2 linked regions of the Drosophila melanogaster genome follow. The protein of the gene in region 2 interacts with the protein of the main gene of each other region in a pairwise test. Each region holds a gene or a part of one and is shown on either strand. Other genes may lie near its edges. The genes, in order: CG14183 and hoe1.

Region 1 (10,048 bases), on a different chromosome or scaffold from region 2:
GGTCTATTCACTGCGGTGTCCTTTGGCGGAAAGAGCTATGCCCACTACAAGATCAACAAGGTGAAGGCGAAGTTCACGCTGGAAAACGGGTTTTCCTACTCCCTGCAGATAAGAACTGTGCAACAAACTGGGACTCTGCTGTATGCCAGCGGCAAGGTGGACTACAACATCCTGGAGATCATAAACGGAGCTGTTCAGTACAGATTCGATTTGGGCTCGGGCGAGGGAGTCATCAGTGTGTCCAGCATTAACATCTCTGACGGCGAGTGGCATCAAATCAGCCTAGAGCGGTCCCTCAATAGTGCCAAAGTGATGGTGGACAACAAGCACGTCTCCCATGGCAGTGCTCCGGGTGTGAATGGCATCCTGAACATCCAGTCGAACGATATCTTTGTAGGCGCCGAGGTTCGTCCGCATCCATCGATAATTGGCTACGAGGATATTCAGCGTGGCTTCATCGGTTGCATGGCAAACATCAAAATAGCCAAAGAGTCGCTGCCATTGTACATTTCCGGTGGGAGTACCATTGCTGCCTTGAAACGTTTTACGAATGTCGAGTTCAAGTGCGATCCGTCGAATGTTCTGGTGCGCCTGGGCATTTGCGGATCTCAGCCGTGTGCCAATAGTGGAATCTGCAAGGAACTCGATACGGACGTGTTTGAATGCGCCTGTCAGCCCCGATATTCCGGCAAGCATTGCGAGATTGATTTGGACCCTTGCTCATCGGGACCCTGCTTGTTTGGCGGCAGGTGCGACTACCACGGACCGAACAACTACAGCTGCACGTGTCCCATCCACTTATCCGGAAAGAGGTGTGAGTACGGCAAGTTCTGCACGCCGAACCCGTGCAAAAACGGTGGCATTTGCGAGGAAGGCGATGGAATATCGCACTGCATGTGCCGCGGCTACACGGGACCCACTTGTGAGATCGATGTGGATGAGTGCGAGAACCAGCCGTGCGGCAATGGAGCGACCTGCATCAATGAACCCGGAAGTTTCCGTTGCATTTGTCCATCTTATCTCACAGGAGCCAGCTGCGGCGATCCCCTGTATTCGAACTCTATTTCTACAAAGCTGAAGAACTTTTCTATAGAGCACATTAGCGGGATCATTTCCGGCGTGGCCGTGGTACTGGTCATCATCAGTTGTGTCCTGTGTTGCGTGGTGTTGAAGAGGAGTTCCTCTTCAAAGCGAAGGAACCGACTAGAAAAGGACAAGAACAAGTCGTCGTACAAGGAGGCGAACTTGAACTCACTGGTGGACAAGGACAATTACTGCAAACCAAACGTAAAGTTGAGTAACTTGGAGGTTAACCAGCGTCCAATTAGCTACACAGCAGTTCCAAATGACAACCTAGTCCTGAGCAATAGGAATTTTGTAAATAACTTAGACATCTTGCGTAGCTACGGTTCGGCCGGCGATGAACTGGAAAATGTGCCATTCGAGTACCAGAAGGTTAATCGAAACAAACAGCATGTGAACATAAACTCCTGCCATTCAACCGATGCAGATAATGCCTACAAACAAGAATGGTGCGAGCAAATGCATTTAAGAACCTTCAGTGAAAATAAACTGAACAATGGTAAGTCAATGCCTCTTAGTGTCAGATAGCAAAAGCAAATATTAACCTGCTCTTTATTTCAGAACTTAAACGGGATTTCGGACCATCTGTGAGTCGCTTTTCAACTGGGAAACTAATCCAAGTTGAAATGCCCAACGTGTGCCACTCTTCCAGTGCGAATTTCGTTGATTATTCAGCTCTTGCCAATGGTCAGTATCATTGGGACTGTTCCGACTGGGTTCGCAAAAGCCATAATCCCTTGCCAGATATAACCGAAGTTCCTGGAGCAGAAATAGCTGATTCGTCGAGCTTACACAGCAACGATAGCAACGAGTCCAAGTCGAAGAAAGCCTTTTTCGTGCACAGTAAGTATAGAATTTAAAACTCGTTTCCCGGACCAATAACTGATTTCACCACCAAAAGGGGAAGACGGAGATGTTGATCCGACGAGGGATATAGCCGCGTTGAATGAGGATATCGGATCGGAGTATTTGGACTCGGAGGCAGAGAGCTGCTTGGAGCCGTTTATGTTGCCAAGATCAAGTAATCAGCCACTTTCAAGACTGAGTTCTTTTAATAATATCGAGAATGAAGACTATAAATCAAATACAGGTAAAACCCTTCGTTAAAATGTTAAATGCATCTAATAAAATACAAAAAAAAAAAAAAAAAAAAAAAAAAAGGAATTGATTATTATCACTAAACGTTTTCATGTTTATGTTCATAACAAGCTGATTTATCTTATTGGCTGTTACAAAATCGCAGTTCATTTTTCATTTTATAATTTCAACAATTTATTTAATACATATTGCACACAATATCTAACTCTTTCCTCTTATAAGTAATTTTGTTATTCCTTTAAACTTTCTAACAAATAACATCTTTGTATACTAACCTATTAAACTACTTCATTTCATGCAATCAGTGCCTTTACCGTCGAAAGTTAGTCATTCGTGTAAGTTTTGTATTCATTATAAGTAATAGTCCAATGGTTATTTATAAATTTAGGTCAATGCTTTTTTTATACTGAACCTGTATTAAATTAAAAATATTTGTTACTGCATATTAACCACATAAAATGTTACAAGAATCTTACTTCAAAATGTCCATATCTGATCTATTCCACAGGCAAAGTATATTTAAGACATCCTGATTCGTATTTACCGACGATGCATTTTCCAAGTGAGACCGATGGGGAAAGCTCTATGACCGAGGGGCCGATTTCTAGGATGGAAATAAAAACCAGGAGGACGATAAGTGGTAAGCAAGGGAAATGCCTTTACATATCTTACAAATATCACGATTCTCTCTAATTATGCAGAAAATTCAGAGGAGGCATACCTATTTCCATGCACTGTCGGAGAAATTGGATCCAACAGCAACATTTCGGTTCGACTGTGTGAAATTGAAGATTCTGAGTTGGAGGAGTTTTTACCACAACAACAAACAAACAATTAAATGACATGCTTAATATATAAGAACTACATTTTACACAAATTATTTCATTTCGTTAGATACTATTTTCCATAGGAAAACTTTGGTTATATATTTTCAATAAAAAAGACACAAAGAACATCTGCACTTCCATAGTATCATTAGTTTAAGGCCAAGGTAAGTTTACACTTACAAATAGTTATATATGAAAATGCATATTTAAATAAGTTTTAAACTGATTTATTTATTTCTTTTTGCTTGCCTTCGCCAACTTTTGAGCCATATACGATTTTCTCAGCTTTTCCAGCTTGTTTGAGCTGCCGAACCATTTATTGAACTTATCCATTATCTAAAAAGAATTTCAGTTAAATGACTTAGTTGCTAAACATGTATTAAGTAAGCAAGTATACCTTCTCATCTGGAGGGAAAATGGGAGGCTCATTCTTGCTCAGGAAATATTCAAGGAACTCGTTCGGATCCAATGCCTCATTCTTGAGTCGCATCTTACGGTCGATGTTCAAGGTCTCCTTAACGTTATCATCAATGTCGCCGGAGTTGTACGCCTGAAGGACGCGTGCCAGTGCCGAGTAGGCGTACTCCTTCATGTCATCTGGCGCGTTCTCGGTCATCAGTTCCAGCCACAGCAGGAAGCTAGTGCCGTAATCGCACTTCGGAATAAGCAGTACTTTTTGGAACGCTCGCTTGATGCCTCCATTGGCCGCCCAGGGCATGTTACTCGTGCCGACTAGTACAATTTTGTCATTTTTCTTCAGTGGTTTCAAGATCTTGCTAGCTAACGAGGTGCCCAGCAGTCTGGGGTTAATCTCCACTGCCTCAGGCGGAACCTTTTTCCAAAATAGTCTATGCGCTTCCTCGATGTACATTATGGTGGGCTGAAAAGCCTTAGCCACTTTTAGAATAACATGCAGGAAGTACTTCAAGTCTTTGGCATATTTGTAGGTATTCTCGGGACTTAGGTTCATAAAAACTGCATCTGGAGTAGACAGAAGGTTTAAGTGCTCCGACAAAAAAAAAAAAAAAAAAAAAAAGAACAATTCCCAACAAAATGTTACTATACCTAGTTCGGATGCAATGATTTCACACAGCAATCGTTTTCCGCTATTCAGAGGTCCAATTAGCAAAAGAGACTTCGGCTTCGGAACATCGAATTCGCCCATTCCCAGCATCGACTCTTGGATAACCATTTTAATGTCACCCTTTGCTGGGCCCAATGTGCTGAATTTTAAATCGATATTAATTTTTTTTGTTAGGCTTAGTAGCTCTTTCAACAAATAACTACAACATACGTTAAGCCATCTTCATCTCGAGTGTCGTCTGCCACAAAGTTGAAGTCCGTTATGAACTCATCAAAGTCCCTATGACCAATTTCCTCTATTATGCCGGCATCTTTGAGCTCATTGTACAGGGATTCCAGTGTCCGATCGCCTGTCATGTCCTTGGGCTTCTTCTTCCTCTTCTCCTTCTTCTTCTTAGGATACTTCACCTTGAGAGCCTTGTACTTCTCATCGTTATCCTTCGCCAAGGCCTCCCGCAGCAACTCATACTCAACCCTGGAAGTTGAAAAGTTATATTTTCATTGTAAATATAAATAAATTTACCTCATGTATTCGTCGACCAAGCCCCTCACTTCCTGATGAATCTTTGCCAGTTGCTCCTCAGTAACCCATTCCTTGATGGGATCATGATTCTTGTTTAGATATTCATCGACATTTCTCCAGTCCTTGGAGTACTTCTTCATTGTTTCTTCAATGTTTTCTAAAATTGAAGAGAGTATTTGGAGACAATGGAAACATTCTCCATTAAGTCAAACTATCTACCAATTGCCTTGCTTGCAGTTAGCTCGTAGCCAATATCGATGACTCCAGCGTCTCTCAATTTCTTCCGACGTTTAGCTTCCTTCATTTTCAGTTGTTTTAGCTTTTCCTTCTTTTTCCTTTTCTCTTTCTTCTCCTTATCGCGAAGTTTCTTCAACTCGGCTTTTGACAGCGGCTTTTTACCAAGGCTTTCCTGAAATTCCATTGGCGTCATTGTTTCATCAATGACAACCAGTACCGTTCCTTGTTTTACAGGATCGGGATAAGGATGAAAATTCCCAGTCGCGTCGTAGCTGTTAAGTACGAGTTATACGTTTTTGCCTTTTTTGCCTCAATGAAAAACAACTCACAATTCCTTGAACCATGCCCGGATATGATCGGATATATCTTCCATCATCCATGGACTTCGGAATTGCAGCAATCGGGTGCGCTCATCGTTGATCAAGTTGATGAAGTCCTCATCCAGCTTCTTCTTGAGCATCTCGTTCTTGTACATTTCCATAATAGAATTTGCCGTCTGATTGGGTCGCTTCAGTTTCCTAATTTTCTTCATACCATACAATTCCTCCTTGAACCGCTTCCTAATCTTAACTATTTTCCGCGTCTTGTAACCACGCCAACAACTTTGGATTTTACAAGCAGCATTGTTCTGTATTGCACTTAAGGCTTCCTCATCTAGAAAATAATTAAAAACCAAATTAATTGTTTTGAAACGATCTAGCTACTTGCCATCTATTGCGGTATCCGCTACATCATCCTTTTTGATAAGATTTTCGCAGGACTCGTCCGCCTTCAAGAAGTCAGCTGAAAAAATGGTTCTCTTCACGGGAATACTCATTGCCTGATCAGGCTTAAAGGTGAATTTGTAATTTATTTTCTTTCTTTGATGGACCTTGAGGAACTTTTTCTTGTCGTACTTTATGTTGGACTTGTAAACCCGAGCTCGGCGCGCCCTCTCGTGAGCTTGGATAAGCTTGACCGCCTCACTGATCGGAACCCAATCCTGGGCTGCCTTTTCTTCCTTTTCCTCATCGTTCATGTACAATCGGTTGTCGGCAATGATATTTTGAATGTCCAACGGGCGACGGTAAAGGAATTGTGGTGACCTCCATACGACCAGGTCCCGTGGTGTTAGCTTCCTAGCGATCAGCGCCTTATCTATGTAAATGTATTCGCTCATTTCCAAGTCTTTTAACTCCTCCTTGAGTTGCATTAGCTGCTGAGTGGCATTCTCCACCAAAACACGTACCAATGCCCGCTTTTGCACTTGGAAAGTATTGTGGTATATGAAACTTAACTTATTGACCAGCTCCACATACAAAACATAGAGCTCTGCGTAAATTTTATACGATACTGCCTTTTCCTCTGGCGGCTCAATCTTCTTCAGGCGGTTCTGCTTCTTGATTAATTTACCAATTTCCTTGCGCGTGTAGACCCAAAATTTATGGTTAAGATCGAACGACATTTTGGATTTTAGCTATATGTGTGTGTGTGTGCCTTCCTAAATAAAAAAAATGTCTTGCCGTGTTAAGAATATAGTATGTATTTATTTGCTTCTGTACACTTAATGAAAATAAGTCGATTACCTGGTTATTCAAGGGCTACTTAGTACCAATATAGATTTTGATTTTATATAAATTTATCACTTTATTTCACTTAAGATACGATAATCAGGGAATCCGGAAGGGAACAACCACGGCCTCTTTGTGGTCGATCTGTATGTGCGAGACACTGATGTGTGCCTTCTCGGTGAAGAGCTTCATCTAAAAACATACGAAATTGGTAAGCAACAAGCAATTTGCGAAAAGTAAAACTCACTTGAGCAGTGTCATCTGGATAGGTTGGCTTAGACAGATAGAACTGATGGCTTGGTACATCTTTAAGGAGACCTGTTGTTCATTTAATTGTTAGTCATCATTCACCCTTTCAATCTAGCTATATTGCAAACCTTTTGGTGCGATACTGGCGTGCTGGCCGTTGTTCCACTGTTGATGCAACCGCTGCGAGTACAATCTTATTCTATCGGCGTACTCCTGGTGCTCCAGGCTGTGACAGTCCATGGCTCCAACGTTTATCATGTTTCTGGAGAGCAAAGTAGCGTATAAGCGAATACAAATATAATATAGATAAGCGATAATTAGGGCTGTGTTGCTTTGTTGCATTGAACATCCCGATAAATGCTTGGGTATAACCATACTACATACTAGATCCTGCCATCGCTATAACTACGTAGGTATACTACTATAGTATAGTATAGTATAGCAATCGCTGTAAAATGCTAGCATTCCAATCAATGGAATTGTATATGATAGTGCCAAATGTGGACCCTATACACTATCAACTACGTACATCGCAGTATTCTGCACCAGTCTGGAGAGGGCGTTCTGATCGTCCTTCTTGGGAAGGGAGTGGGCGTAGTCGGTGCTGAGGCCATCGGAGTTGCTCCGTCGAAGGGCAGGACTATGGTTCACCGGGTCCACGAGAAGGTGTGTCCGCTCGTTCGGCTCGTTGGGCTGCAGATGGAACGCATTGTGTATTCGGTCTGTTGACGGGGAAAGGGGAATGTGCGGATTACCTGCGCACCTGGATCTTCGGTGCATTGCCAGCAGTTGCAGATCGAGGCTAGGTAGCTCCAAACAGAGTGCACATACTCCATTCTAAATGCAATTGTTCAATTGTTCTTTATTTTTTATGCAAGTTTTTCTAGGGATGGAATTGTACATATTCGATAAGATCAGTGCTACCAGACAGTTTAAAACAGCTGTATACATACTTGTTATCGATTAGGCGCTAAATATTACAATTTTAATCGGACATTAAATTCATGGGTTTTCATAAGGGAATACTAGTTTATTACTTACTGTTCCTAGCGTTATCCTTGTTTTATTTATTATGAAATACTTTTTATTGGGAATTAAGTTGATTTAAATTTATACTTTATTAATTTGTTATATTTTTATTGGAAATCGGCAATAATTGTGAAGATATTAAAAAATTTAACTGCTTTTGGTAGACATCAATTATTAATTTGAAATATTTATATTGCTGTTTTTTCTATCAACCTATATGACATTTTCCCCAACAGCCAGCCCACGAGAACGAGCACATTCTTGATTGATGAAGATGCCAAAATTTCAGCCAACGGAAGTTGCTTATCTCGTCGCTTCCTTCGTGCCAATCAAATGAATTGGGCCGCACATTTTTAATTGTGTCGCTCGAGCAGTAAGGACAAAGGATGCGGAGTACGCCAGCTACTCGCAAGGAACGGAGAACGCCCTTAAATCAACGACGCGGTTAACCATGATGGCGAAAGCGGCGAGGCGGAAACGCAAATTCATTGCCGAGGCTGCATGACATGGGGGCATGTGTGGCAGTGCTGACAGCTTTTGCTATCCTTTCCACAAGAAGAACCTCTGAAAAATGTAAAACCATAATAACATAATGTGTAATATTGGGGTTTCTGAATGGGCTGATGTTCTTCGAATATCTTACGTAGAGTGAAAAAGTTCAAGATTCATAAGAATTTAAAACTTAATATGGCCGTTAAAAAACAGTTTTTCTCTCCAATACGGTCTAATTTATTGAGTTTTCCCTTCAGTTTGTTCTTCTGTTTCCGCCGCCTAAGTGAATTTATTGTCTCCTCCTGGCAGCACTGATGTGGGCCTCGTCATCGCATCCTGATCCTTTGCGCCACCTCCAGACCCGGCACCATGCCCATATATTGAGCCAGACGCACACTCACACTTGCTGGCAACTTGTAACTTCGTTTTGCCCCGCTTTTGTTTCCGTTCCCTGGCAGCGGAAGCCGGGCTAGAAATTTCATAACTGCCACAAGGAGCAGCTTCACTTCAAATTCAATTATCCTGCGCCTGCACACGGCCCCAAAGGATATCGATCAGTACATCTAAGGAGGTGCATATGTCTGCGGCTTGCCGACCGGGAATAGGCATCTTACATCGTCATTTTGCGATACGCCATCTAAGGGATTTCCTTCGAGGATGTTGGGTTTTATCTAGACAGCTCATTAGCTGAGTAAGTCCATTGTTTTTAGATTTATGATGATATACTAACCAGCCAGGAAAACAAATATTATATACAAATTATGCATTATACATAAAATTTTTTTAATAAATTATATTTATTTTTTATGCTAAGAGCATTTAGCATTTCACTTGTGAGGAAACACTATATTCAGTATTTATTTAATTTGATGGCTTTGCAAAGTTCAATTTCTGCTAGCTCATTTGGTCTGGATGGGCGTGGTTCGGCGGAACTGTAGGCAAAAAACCTCAACCACATTAACGACTTAATGAGCACCCGCGAAGCAGTTTGCCACTTGATTGCCCACGGGGTGGCACCAGTCGCCGCTGATTGGATTCAGCTGGTGTTTTATCTAGGGCCTTCGACTTCCAGCCAGTTTCAGGTTCAGAATTCTCCGGCTCATTGTTGCATCGACAAAGAAACGCAGTTTACATCGAATAGCTGCGGATTATCGGAGCCACGCCCCCAAAACCCATACCCTCGTCCTGCCGCAGAAGTGCGGCACCACAGCGGTTTCAGTATGCAAAGCGCAAGGCATCCGGAGGCCACATAGTCCTCCGTCCACCTCCACTTCGGCGGATAAATAGTGCCGCGCAAACTTACAGCGGGAAGAACAACACTTTTATGCACAAGACTTTACATTTTTGCTGGGCGGACGCATCTGCAAACTGCGCTGTAAGAAAGTTAGGGTCGATATATATACTGGATTTGAATTAATACTCTAACAAGGATTTGTTCCCTTTTCACTTATGTCAAAGGTGTTATACTAGATTTGCTTATAATGCATGAATCCGAAATGATAGAGTCTATGTACTGACCATATGACATCTAATTTTCTTTCCGTGTAAGTTGTGCGTCCCACAACTCCAGAAACTTTTTGCCCCAGATTGTCGGTGTTGACTTGGTTAGCAGTTTGGCCCTTCGGCGAGCCTTTGCATCTGGCCATAAACGTCGGGGGAGGCGATAAAGTTGAACCTGATTATGCAGCTTTATTAGAGGTGAACGATCAACTCGGAATGGCCCAGAAAAAAAAGAGAAAAAGCGACTCTTGCAGTCATTAAAAAATATACAAATATATTGATATATTCTATATTATATAGTAGTATACCCTACAGTTCCACAATTCATCGCAACTCAAACTTATAACTTATCCCAAAATCGGGAAAACAATTAATCT
Region 2 (9,125 bases):
TTGATAGGAATTGTGCCACCCCCGAATGAGGCGAGCAAAACATGGGAATCCACAAGAATATTTCGGCGCCTGCGCCATCCTGGAAATCGGCGAATATAAAGCTCCGTGGGACCGAAGGTCGGTGGGTGGTACGATGGCGATGGTTTTCACTTTCAATATTGAAAGCAGCGCCGGCGGCTGAATGGAAACCGAAACCCCGCAACTGCGTCGCGTCCGATTCGGATTTATATTCAGTCGCATTGTGCCTCGCGTGCGGCAAAGATGTCCGCGACCACACCTCGCTGACGACCATCTGTGAAATCTGTGGAAAAGCTCCCACGCTCCGTCAACCGATTTCCTCGCACTTCCCGCCGATTACCAGCAACATGGGTCTGCGGGACACCATTCGTAACCTACGGCCGGCAAGTCCCGGCCGGGAGAAGTCATCGGGCATCGAGCTGCAGCAGCGAAGTCCGCGAGGTGCATGCCACCACAATCAGGTGGCCGCCGTCCAGGTCACGGAGCAATCATTACAGGTATGGCGCGCACTGCCAGCAGAGATTCGCCACGATCCCAGCATGGCCAGTTTTCAGATGGAGAACGAGAGAATCCATGGTGAGTGAAGGGTGTCATTTGAAATTTATGGATGCCTATAGAAAAAATATTAATATTATTTTTCCTCTTTGCTCAGTACTAAGCCATATAGCTAAGCCATAGCCTTTAAATCAATAAACTGTCATACAAATGTCAATCCATTCCCTTGCTCAATCCACGACATAGATAGCTGGTTAATTACGTGACTGCCACTCACTTTTAGGTTCCTCCGGCGGCGCCACTGACGACGAGGATGAGGATGGATACGAGGAGGTGGATATGAAGAACGTCAGTCGCATTCAGGATGAGCCCGGCTCAAGCTTTGCCGGCTCCGACTTTCTGGACATCAAGAACAGGCCTGGTGATGAGAATGCCACCGACGATGAGGTCACCACCCACTCCGATCACGAAGCGGCCAATGGTGGTCCGGGTAATGCCAAATCACAGGCCCGCCGGATTCATCACAAATCCAAGCGTTCCAAGGAGCAGCGACAGCGGGACAAATTGTGGAAACGGGGTGGACTACTTGTATTTTGGATCCTGTCGGCAGTGGTGCTGATTTCGGTGGGCGAAAAGCATCTGCTGGAGAAGACCATTGATGTGCCAATGGGCGAGGAGGGAAAGTGTGAGTTTCCATCTATTTAGTTGATTTATTTTTATTTTTTTAATTTACATTGGAACATTGTTTTTCTAATTAGTTTTCAAGCTGCTCCAAAAACCCACTGGTGACTTCCGCTTGAAGATTCATGGCGCTTTTAGAGAGCTCTCCACGCTGGATGCCCCCGAAAATGAGACTTTGAGCTTTGGATTTCTGACTGTGCAGCCACAGGTGTCCACTTACATTGGCGAGAATCACAGCCAGGTGTTCCAGGTGAGTATTACATAACTACTGCACAATCGAATATAAAGTTGGCAAGATGTAAGCTTTTTTTTTTTTGGATTTTTCAGGATATACTTCCAGCGTGGCGTTTACCACTGCTCTCCGAGGAGGAACTGATGCTGCGTGCTCCGGCTGTGACCACCAATCGCACCTACCAGATGACTCAGGAGTTAGATGAAATGTTGGCTGGAAAGAACAGCGAATTTCGCTTGCATATCTATAGCGATGTGGAGGTGGATTTGGCCATTGTTCTGAACTATAATCCCTTGATAGTGAATGCCAGGACAGGGAGCATCCTGGCTGGTGTAATCCTGCTAATCTTCTATGCACTGCTTGTTTGGGAACTCTTCGAAAGAACCTTTGTGGCCATGATATGTTCCATTCTTTCGGTGACGACTCTAGCCTGTTTTAATGGTTGGTTACAGAACCCGGGTATTTCTTCATTTCTTAATTATTTGAAATTCCCCAGATCGTCCCAATATGGATGAGATTATCCAGTGGATGGACATGGAGCTACTGACTCTACTCTTCTGCATGATGCTGCTCATTTTGATACTGACTGAAACTGGCGTATTCGACTACCTGGCCGTATTTTGTTTCGAGATATCGGGTGGCAAGATCTGGCCCATGATATATAGTCTCTGTTTGGTCACCTGCCTGGTGTCCAGTGTGCTGGACAACATGACAACCGTGCTGCTCCTGACCCCAGTGGCAATCCGATTGTGCGAGGTAATGCAGTTGGATCCCCTGCCCGTGGTGATGGGCATTATAGTGCATGCCAATATCGGAGGAGCCCTGACGCCCATCGGAGATCCCATCAGTATTATAGTCAGCACCAATCACTTTATTGTGGATAATGTGGGTATAACATATAGGTTATGCAAGCTGTTATATAGATTTCCCCTACCTTTTCAGGATGTAACTTTTCCCACATTTGTGGCCCACACATTTCCAGGTGTCATTCTAGCAGTTATTCAAAGTTGTGTGTACCTGCGCCTCTTCTATCACAATATCGATGCACTGCGTCTCAATGAGCCCAAGGAGATGAGTGAGCTGCGTAGGGAGATGAAGGTGTGGCAGAGAGCCTTGAATGCAGTGGCCTCCTGTTCCAAGGATGCCCAGCTGGTGAGGGGAACGCTCCAGGCTAAGATTAAGCAACTGAAAAGGACCCTTAGAAGATTGCAAAAAGGTGTGGGCTCCACGGAGGTCTATACGAATACGCTGGACGAGCTCAAGCAGAAAGTAAGTGGATTTACTGAACTGGGATCTTTATAGCTGAGCAATCCATTTCCAGTACCCCATCAAAAACAAGACGCTGCTTTTGCAATCCGCTGGAGCCCTACTCTTCGTCATTGTTTGCTTCTTCATCCAATCCGTGCCGCACTGGAGGACATTACCCCTGGGTTGGGTGGCCCTGCTGGGTGTGATCCTGCTGCTGATCATCCTCAATCGCGATGACATGGAGCACTTGATGCACCGCATCGAGTGGACCACGCTGCTCTTCTTCGCCGCCATGTTCGTGATGATGGAATGCGTGGAGAGATTGGGAATCTTCGCCTGCATCAGTGAGCTCACCGAGCACGTTATCCTTTCGGTGGGAAAGAGTCATCGTCTGGCCATGGCCATCTTTATGATATTATGGATGTCGGCGCTGGCATCATCCATATTGGATAGTATTCCGGTGGCAGCCATAATGGTGAAGCTGGTGACCTCTCTGGTGGCCAAGCCATCGCTGGGACTGCCCCTCCAGCCACTGGTTTGGGCTCTGACCCTGGGCGCTTCGATGGGCGGAAATGGAACGCTCTATGGCGCATCAGCCAATGTCATTGCAGCCGGAATTGCCGAGCAACATGGCTATAAGTTGTCCTTCACCCGATATCTGAGAACAGTTTTTCCCATGATGCTGGGACAGATCACCCTGATGACTGTCTATCTACTGGTGGCGCATGTGGTCTTTGAATGGCATTGAGACTCCCTATTTAATACACATACTGAATAACATATTATTGTATCTAATGATGGAAAATGTTTTTCACTTCGAATCTAATCGTGTGTTTTTTTGTGTGAGTTTTACTGTAGTCTTTGTCCTTTTACATTCGCCTCTTGATGTGTTTCATGTGTTTTTGGCATATAAAATAAGAATATTTATATTTAAGCGTTCATTTGTGATTGGCAAATGTATAAAAATATACCATAAATATAAAAGTACACATGGTTTTTCGTTCGCCTTCGTGGAATTTGGCTGGACTGATGGAAATCACTTTTGGTAGTCCATCAAGGCGGTGTTTTTAATGTCGTGTGAAATGTTATAAATTTAGACTTTATTGTCTAAGGTCGAAGTGGGGAAATCGTGAAAATTCAACAGGCCATAAATACAAAACGAAGGAAAATTATAGATTTGATTTTCAAATTTCAATAAGAGGCAGTTCTACAAGTATTTAGATACATTTAAAATTCGAAGCGATGTCTGTATTTTAGAGATTTCAAAGCACAATATAAACATATAATAAGTTAAATTATAAATATCATAATTCTCGTGTTTTCTAGTTTATCCCATATGCACCTTGGTTTGGAAAACATAAACAAACGTAAATAATTCCTGAGACTGACCATTGCCAAGTTCAATGTTGACCAGAATATCCGCATATGAAAGTGCTTGCATGTACATATACATATATATTAAAAGCGAGTATATAGCATATAGTATATGGAAAGAAGACAACTGCTGGTCAATAAATGAGAATAAGACAATGTGGAAAAGCAGCGAGGGATTTCCTCGGGTGGTTGTTGCTATTTATTTGCTCTGCTACTGCTGCGCTTTCCACACTTTCCACAGCGCTCGTTCCATAGGTAAATTGTATTTTAAGTTCACAAACAAATGGCCACGAGGGATTGCGAATGGAGGAGGTGAAACGGAGGACCCGACCTGTCCGCCATGTGGAGAGGAGACTGCCAGCAGTTTTATGGCAGCCGCGAGAGGGAAAGTCGTGCCGACAACGACTGACTGAATTTTAATTAATTTGCGCCAAGGAATAAAGTGAAAATTGGAAATTGGCTTATTTGGCCCAGACTGGCCGCCCTGCAGGCCAAATAAAAATGTGATAAGCGTACGAAATTACGCCGAAATCGAGTTGGTTTTTTTTTTTGTAAGGTGAACCAAGATGACATCTCCCTATGGATACAGTAAGCCCACCTTTATGATAACGGACCACACTCGCGATCCGTATCATCTGCAGCCGGGTGATGACGACGACGATCGGGATGAGGATGAGGAGCGTCAGACGAAGCTGCAGGAGATCATCAGTTGGCTGCACTTGAATGCCAAGCATCGCAGCAAATGGTAAGTCGGCCGCATCAAGTATACGCCGCGGGTGGCCCATGCAAGTCAGCTTATATTGATATTAAGTATACGCCCGGTTGGCCACCGCCACTCGAAGTTTGAGTTGTTTATTTGCCCGGTTCCGTTTTCTCATTAGCCTGGCATTAAATTGTGCTGCAGGAGATGATGGACCCAAAACTTTTCCTTTTAATGTCCTGCTAAGCTTCTTAATAACGGTCCATTGGTTGCGACTTGTTTGTTTTCCGAGATGAAATCAACTCGAGGACATTTTGTGGATTTTAAGCCGCTGAGAGCCGCAACAGATGGTTTCCATTGAGATTGATTACAATTTATTTGTTTTTTAGTTGAAGCAGACACAGCAGTTTGTATATTTCATACTCCATATGCGTTGGAATTCCAGCAGAGTAATAAATGCGCTTTTCTTCGAAACTCTGATTGAAATGATACTCCTAATCCGAATTAATCATGTTTTTGTTTTGTTAGGGATTTTTTCCATTAGCTTGTGGTTATAACAAAATGCCAGGCACGAAGGTATTGTTGTATGCAATTTGTGTGAATAATTCGAAGAATAGTTGGCATATACCCATTTCCAATCCAAGCCAATCTTTTGTTCGAGCAATTCGCTTCTGGGAACTACCATTCGATATAGGTTGCTTATAATCGATAATGTAATACCTTGGACACGTGCAAAATAAACTGAAGTACGCAGTGCAATGTGGAGATTATAAATAAACAATGGGGAATAAATATTGACTTGCGTTGCATTATATTATTTTATTTATAGTTCTCTATTTCCGTTGGCAAATACGTGGTTCAGCAGCCTCCGCAGCTGTTTGTAGGTTTTTTTGTATTAAGTTAAGCATTCGAATTAAGTGTCGTATTCAAATTAGTGCACTCACTCCCACACAAAAATTATCGGTGTAGTGAAAACCTAGGGTAATGCGAATTACATACGCAGTTGGTCCTCAATTAAAAGTTCCGCCTTGTTAATTAACAATTAAAGGGAAAACTCGAGACGGTAAATCACTGAGTTCTCTGGTTTATAGCGCAGTTACACTTGGTTGCAATAGAGAAGGCTGCTCATAAATATACAGGGTGTGTGGAGTCGACTTACATACTTGGGAGCATTATAAAGCATTCATAAACAACGAATAATAAACAACAAAATATGTACAATAAGCAACAGAATTTCATACAGAAAATGATATATTTATATAAACTTAACGATTTTTCTTATAACTAGTTTCCGGGACACCCTGTTTCCATTTGACATATTCTTGACAATCAAACCTGAAGTGAGCTTAGCTTATTATATAAGCGCTCGTTATTTACATAATTATTGTTTATTTACTCACGCTGAGCATTTGTTGTATACATCTACGTCTTGACCATGTGTAGAATCCACTAAGTACTGTATGCATATTGGTTGCAATTAATTTGCATTTTTGCATTGGCTGATACCAAGTAATTACAGCTAACACATCGATAATTGCCGTTGGCCAATTGGCAAAGTTTATGGATACTAAAGAAAAGAGGGAAGGGTTAAATACAGTTGGGATTATGGGCTATAAGTTATTCGCACTGACAGCTAAACACTTTGATGTGGCTGCCCATTTTTACGCTGACTTTCTGACAAGCAAATGAAAAGTCATTCAGTAGTTTCAAGTCCACCCAGAACCACGTGATCCCTCCACGGAACATGCAACCCAAGTTTGGTGGTCCCACGATGACATACATATATGTATGTAGAGATATGTGTGGAAACTTGTCAATGGTTTGTTGGGTGGGTAGCTTGGTGGCATGAAGGAGGTGCGAATAACTATCCCTGTACATGAGGGTTTTCCGCTCACAATTTTCCAACAAACTGTAAATACACTTTTTCTGGTTGCCAAGGGATGAGCTTAGGGGCTGTAAAAGTTCCGGCTTGAATTTGGAATGTACTATGTGTCTCTATGGGGGCCAACCTTTGAGGCACAATTGAGTGGAAATGAATTATGTATTAGTTGTTATTATGAAATGGAATGTACTCAATAGCTTGGCTTATGTGGTATTACAGTTTTCAACCAACTATATTAATGTATTAAGAACGGAAATGTTAAGAGAAAGTAACTGCTGATAGCATTTAACCCATATAACTCCGAATCAACTGCACCCATGCCCCATATTATTCAGATGGATAAGCCGCAGAGACCTTGGGCGAAGATACAATTGTTATTGGAAGAAACACACCTATTGCGTCTCACTGTGGATATCATCAGCGTTATTATTACTATTATTGCCATCGTCTTATTGAATGTGGGTGAGGAAAATTGCGGAATAAAAGAGCATTAATATTCCAGCTTTAAAGTCGCTCAAATGTCAAACGGCTCGTGGCGAGAAATAATATATATATACACGAGTTCACTTTGAGTTCCTTGGAGTGTGTTTGCGTTTCATTGTCCGTGGCATTAGGGTTTTTGGGATTCGGATTGGGTCTCGCATTTGGATTGAGTTGGGGCACAGCAGAAGCTGTTTGCTGATAAACTCGCCTTTTGTCTGCCCATACAGAAGATACAAAAACGTACGAGAATGTGGCACACAAACCACACATGCAAATGGAACCGCGCGTGGACGTCTATATTGTCGGAATTGGAAGCTTCAGTGGGATTTATCAACTTTGGCCTATAAATAAACAAGCGGACGGCCTTAAATTTGATAAAGCTGCCTTTTTCTGCAGATTTCACTTTCGTTTCTGAGAAAGCCTCGAGAGCTTTCGGCGTGATTCTCTTAGTTACATACTCGTAAATGCTGTATCGTCTCATTTCCATGACTATTTTTGGGCTGTATGACAAGTGATTTAAATTCGCACTAATTGCTCGACCGGTTGCTCGTGGCTTCTAAGCTCTGAATAGCATTAAGTCTACCGATTAATTGAGCAGACTTAAGTTGGAGTAAACAAATGATTAGATTGTGTGAATCACATGTATTTATTGCAGATTCACCACCCATAATAACTTATTGAATACAAAATATTTTCAAGACATTAGACAGAAACAAAGGTAACCAATAGTAACCGAATATATATGTTATTATTAGACTTAAGTGACTTAAGGTTCTATAAAATAATAATTAGCTATAATTAACCACCGATACAAATTAGTTGTGCGTGAGATACTTTTAAAGCACTCTTCTCATAAAATAAACAACTAAAATTCTGCCGGTCTAAAAGACGCAAGTTCAAGTTGTTGGCCATTGGAATCCGAGCGATTCCAGCTGAAAAAAAAACCTCGAGGCATTCAACAGCTATTGAAAGCAGCCAAGTTCCATTCAATTCTCGGCGGCGCTTTCAATGCGCCGTTCAACCGAAAACAGCTGCGACTTCGGCGCCGCACGAAGTAGCAACATGAGTATCGGAATAAGTAGCTATAGCTACGCCTGCATGGCATCGGATCGGCATCGGATGGGCATCGGATGGGCATCGGAATCGGAATCGGCAGTAACCGGCTGAAATAACTAGGAACGCGGCGCCGAGTCCGCAGATTTATTCAGTTTACAACTTTCGCTCGAAACGGACGTGCGACTTTGTCCGGCAATCCGCGTTCGAGTGGCAAACAATAGCTATACAAATAAATAGTAATCAAACAAGCGAGTGCACAATAGGGGCATAAAACAACAACAAGAGAAAAAAAAAGTAATTCAAACCTAAAGTGAGCTTATCATCGAATCTAACTTCTTAAGCAAGTGAGACTTTTCTTGGAAAGTTCAGGGTTGTGGCTGCAGCAGGTCGCTAGACAATCTAAAGGAGATAAAGGCACATTTAATTATGGAAATTTTTCCTTTGTTTCACGCGTATTTCCAGTTTCTTATTACCTCGGGATAATTTTGCTCATTAGGCGGGCCCAAAAAGAAGCAATTCCTTTGCATTAAGCGTTCCTAATTAGTCTGCTTCTGACTTTCTGAATAATTGCCTAGCGTCTGGTGACCGCAATGCACATCTATATATATTTATATATATATATCTAAATTAATTGAAGGATTCCCCAGGATTCAAGTACGTTTTCTATGTGGGAATCGTTGCACTTGGTATTCACAAATTGGTGGCTAAACATTCAGCCATTCGATGGCATGTGAGCAGGTCCTTCGGACTAAATTAGCCTATCAGTTGCTGGCAAATATTTCATAATTTATGGATCGCCCCTTTTTGGGCCCAACCCAATCAATAATTGACCACTGACAGGCCACGCGAATAAGTAATATATTCCGCAGGACAAATTGATTCATCAGCATAGCATCATCGTGTGGTAAACTCAAAATATGAAAATGGAAATGAAAATGAATAGAGCTCCCCCAAAA

The links.
Region 1: the proteins of hoe1 (region 2) and CG14183 interact in a two-hybrid assay, tested with the Drosophila melanogaster proteins (one large-scale study listed by BioGRID).

What each region holds. Positions count from the first base shown.
Region 1 is NT_037436.4:20,021,467-20,031,514, forward strand, and holds CG14183 (uncharacterized protein), read right to left. Parts: upstream 6,370-10,048; 5' UTR 6,296-6,369; coding exon 5,560-6,295; intron 5,506-5,559; coding exon 5,181-5,505; intron 5,124-5,180; coding exon 4,834-5,123; intron 4,772-4,833; coding exon 4,615-4,771; intron 4,567-4,614; coding exon 4,303-4,566; intron 4,232-4,302; coding exon 4,074-4,231; intron 3,990-4,073; coding exon 3,406-3,989; intron 3,345-3,405; coding exon 3,240-3,344; 3' UTR 3,221-3,239; downstream 1-3,220. Other genes in the region: kug (kugelei), read left to right, coding at 1-1,582, 1,645-1,926, 1,985-2,173, 2,487-2,516, 2,690-2,821, 2,883-3,019; Lamtor1 (late endosomal/lysosomal adaptor, MAPK and MTOR activator 1), read right to left, coding at 6,501-6,593, 6,649-6,719, 6,779-6,912, 7,180-7,343, 7,406-7,486.
Region 2 is NT_033779.5:4,927,582-4,936,706, reverse strand, and holds the start of hoe1 (hoepel1), read left to right. Parts: upstream 1-4,322; 5' UTR 4,323-4,614; coding exon 4,615-4,793; intron 4,794-8,313; exon of another isoform or gene 8,314-8,513; intron 8,514-9,125. Other genes in the region: hoe2 (hoepel2), read left to right, coding at 366-594, 797-1,198, 1,272-1,444, 1,522-1,867, 1,923-2,311, 2,369-2,695, 2,748-3,422.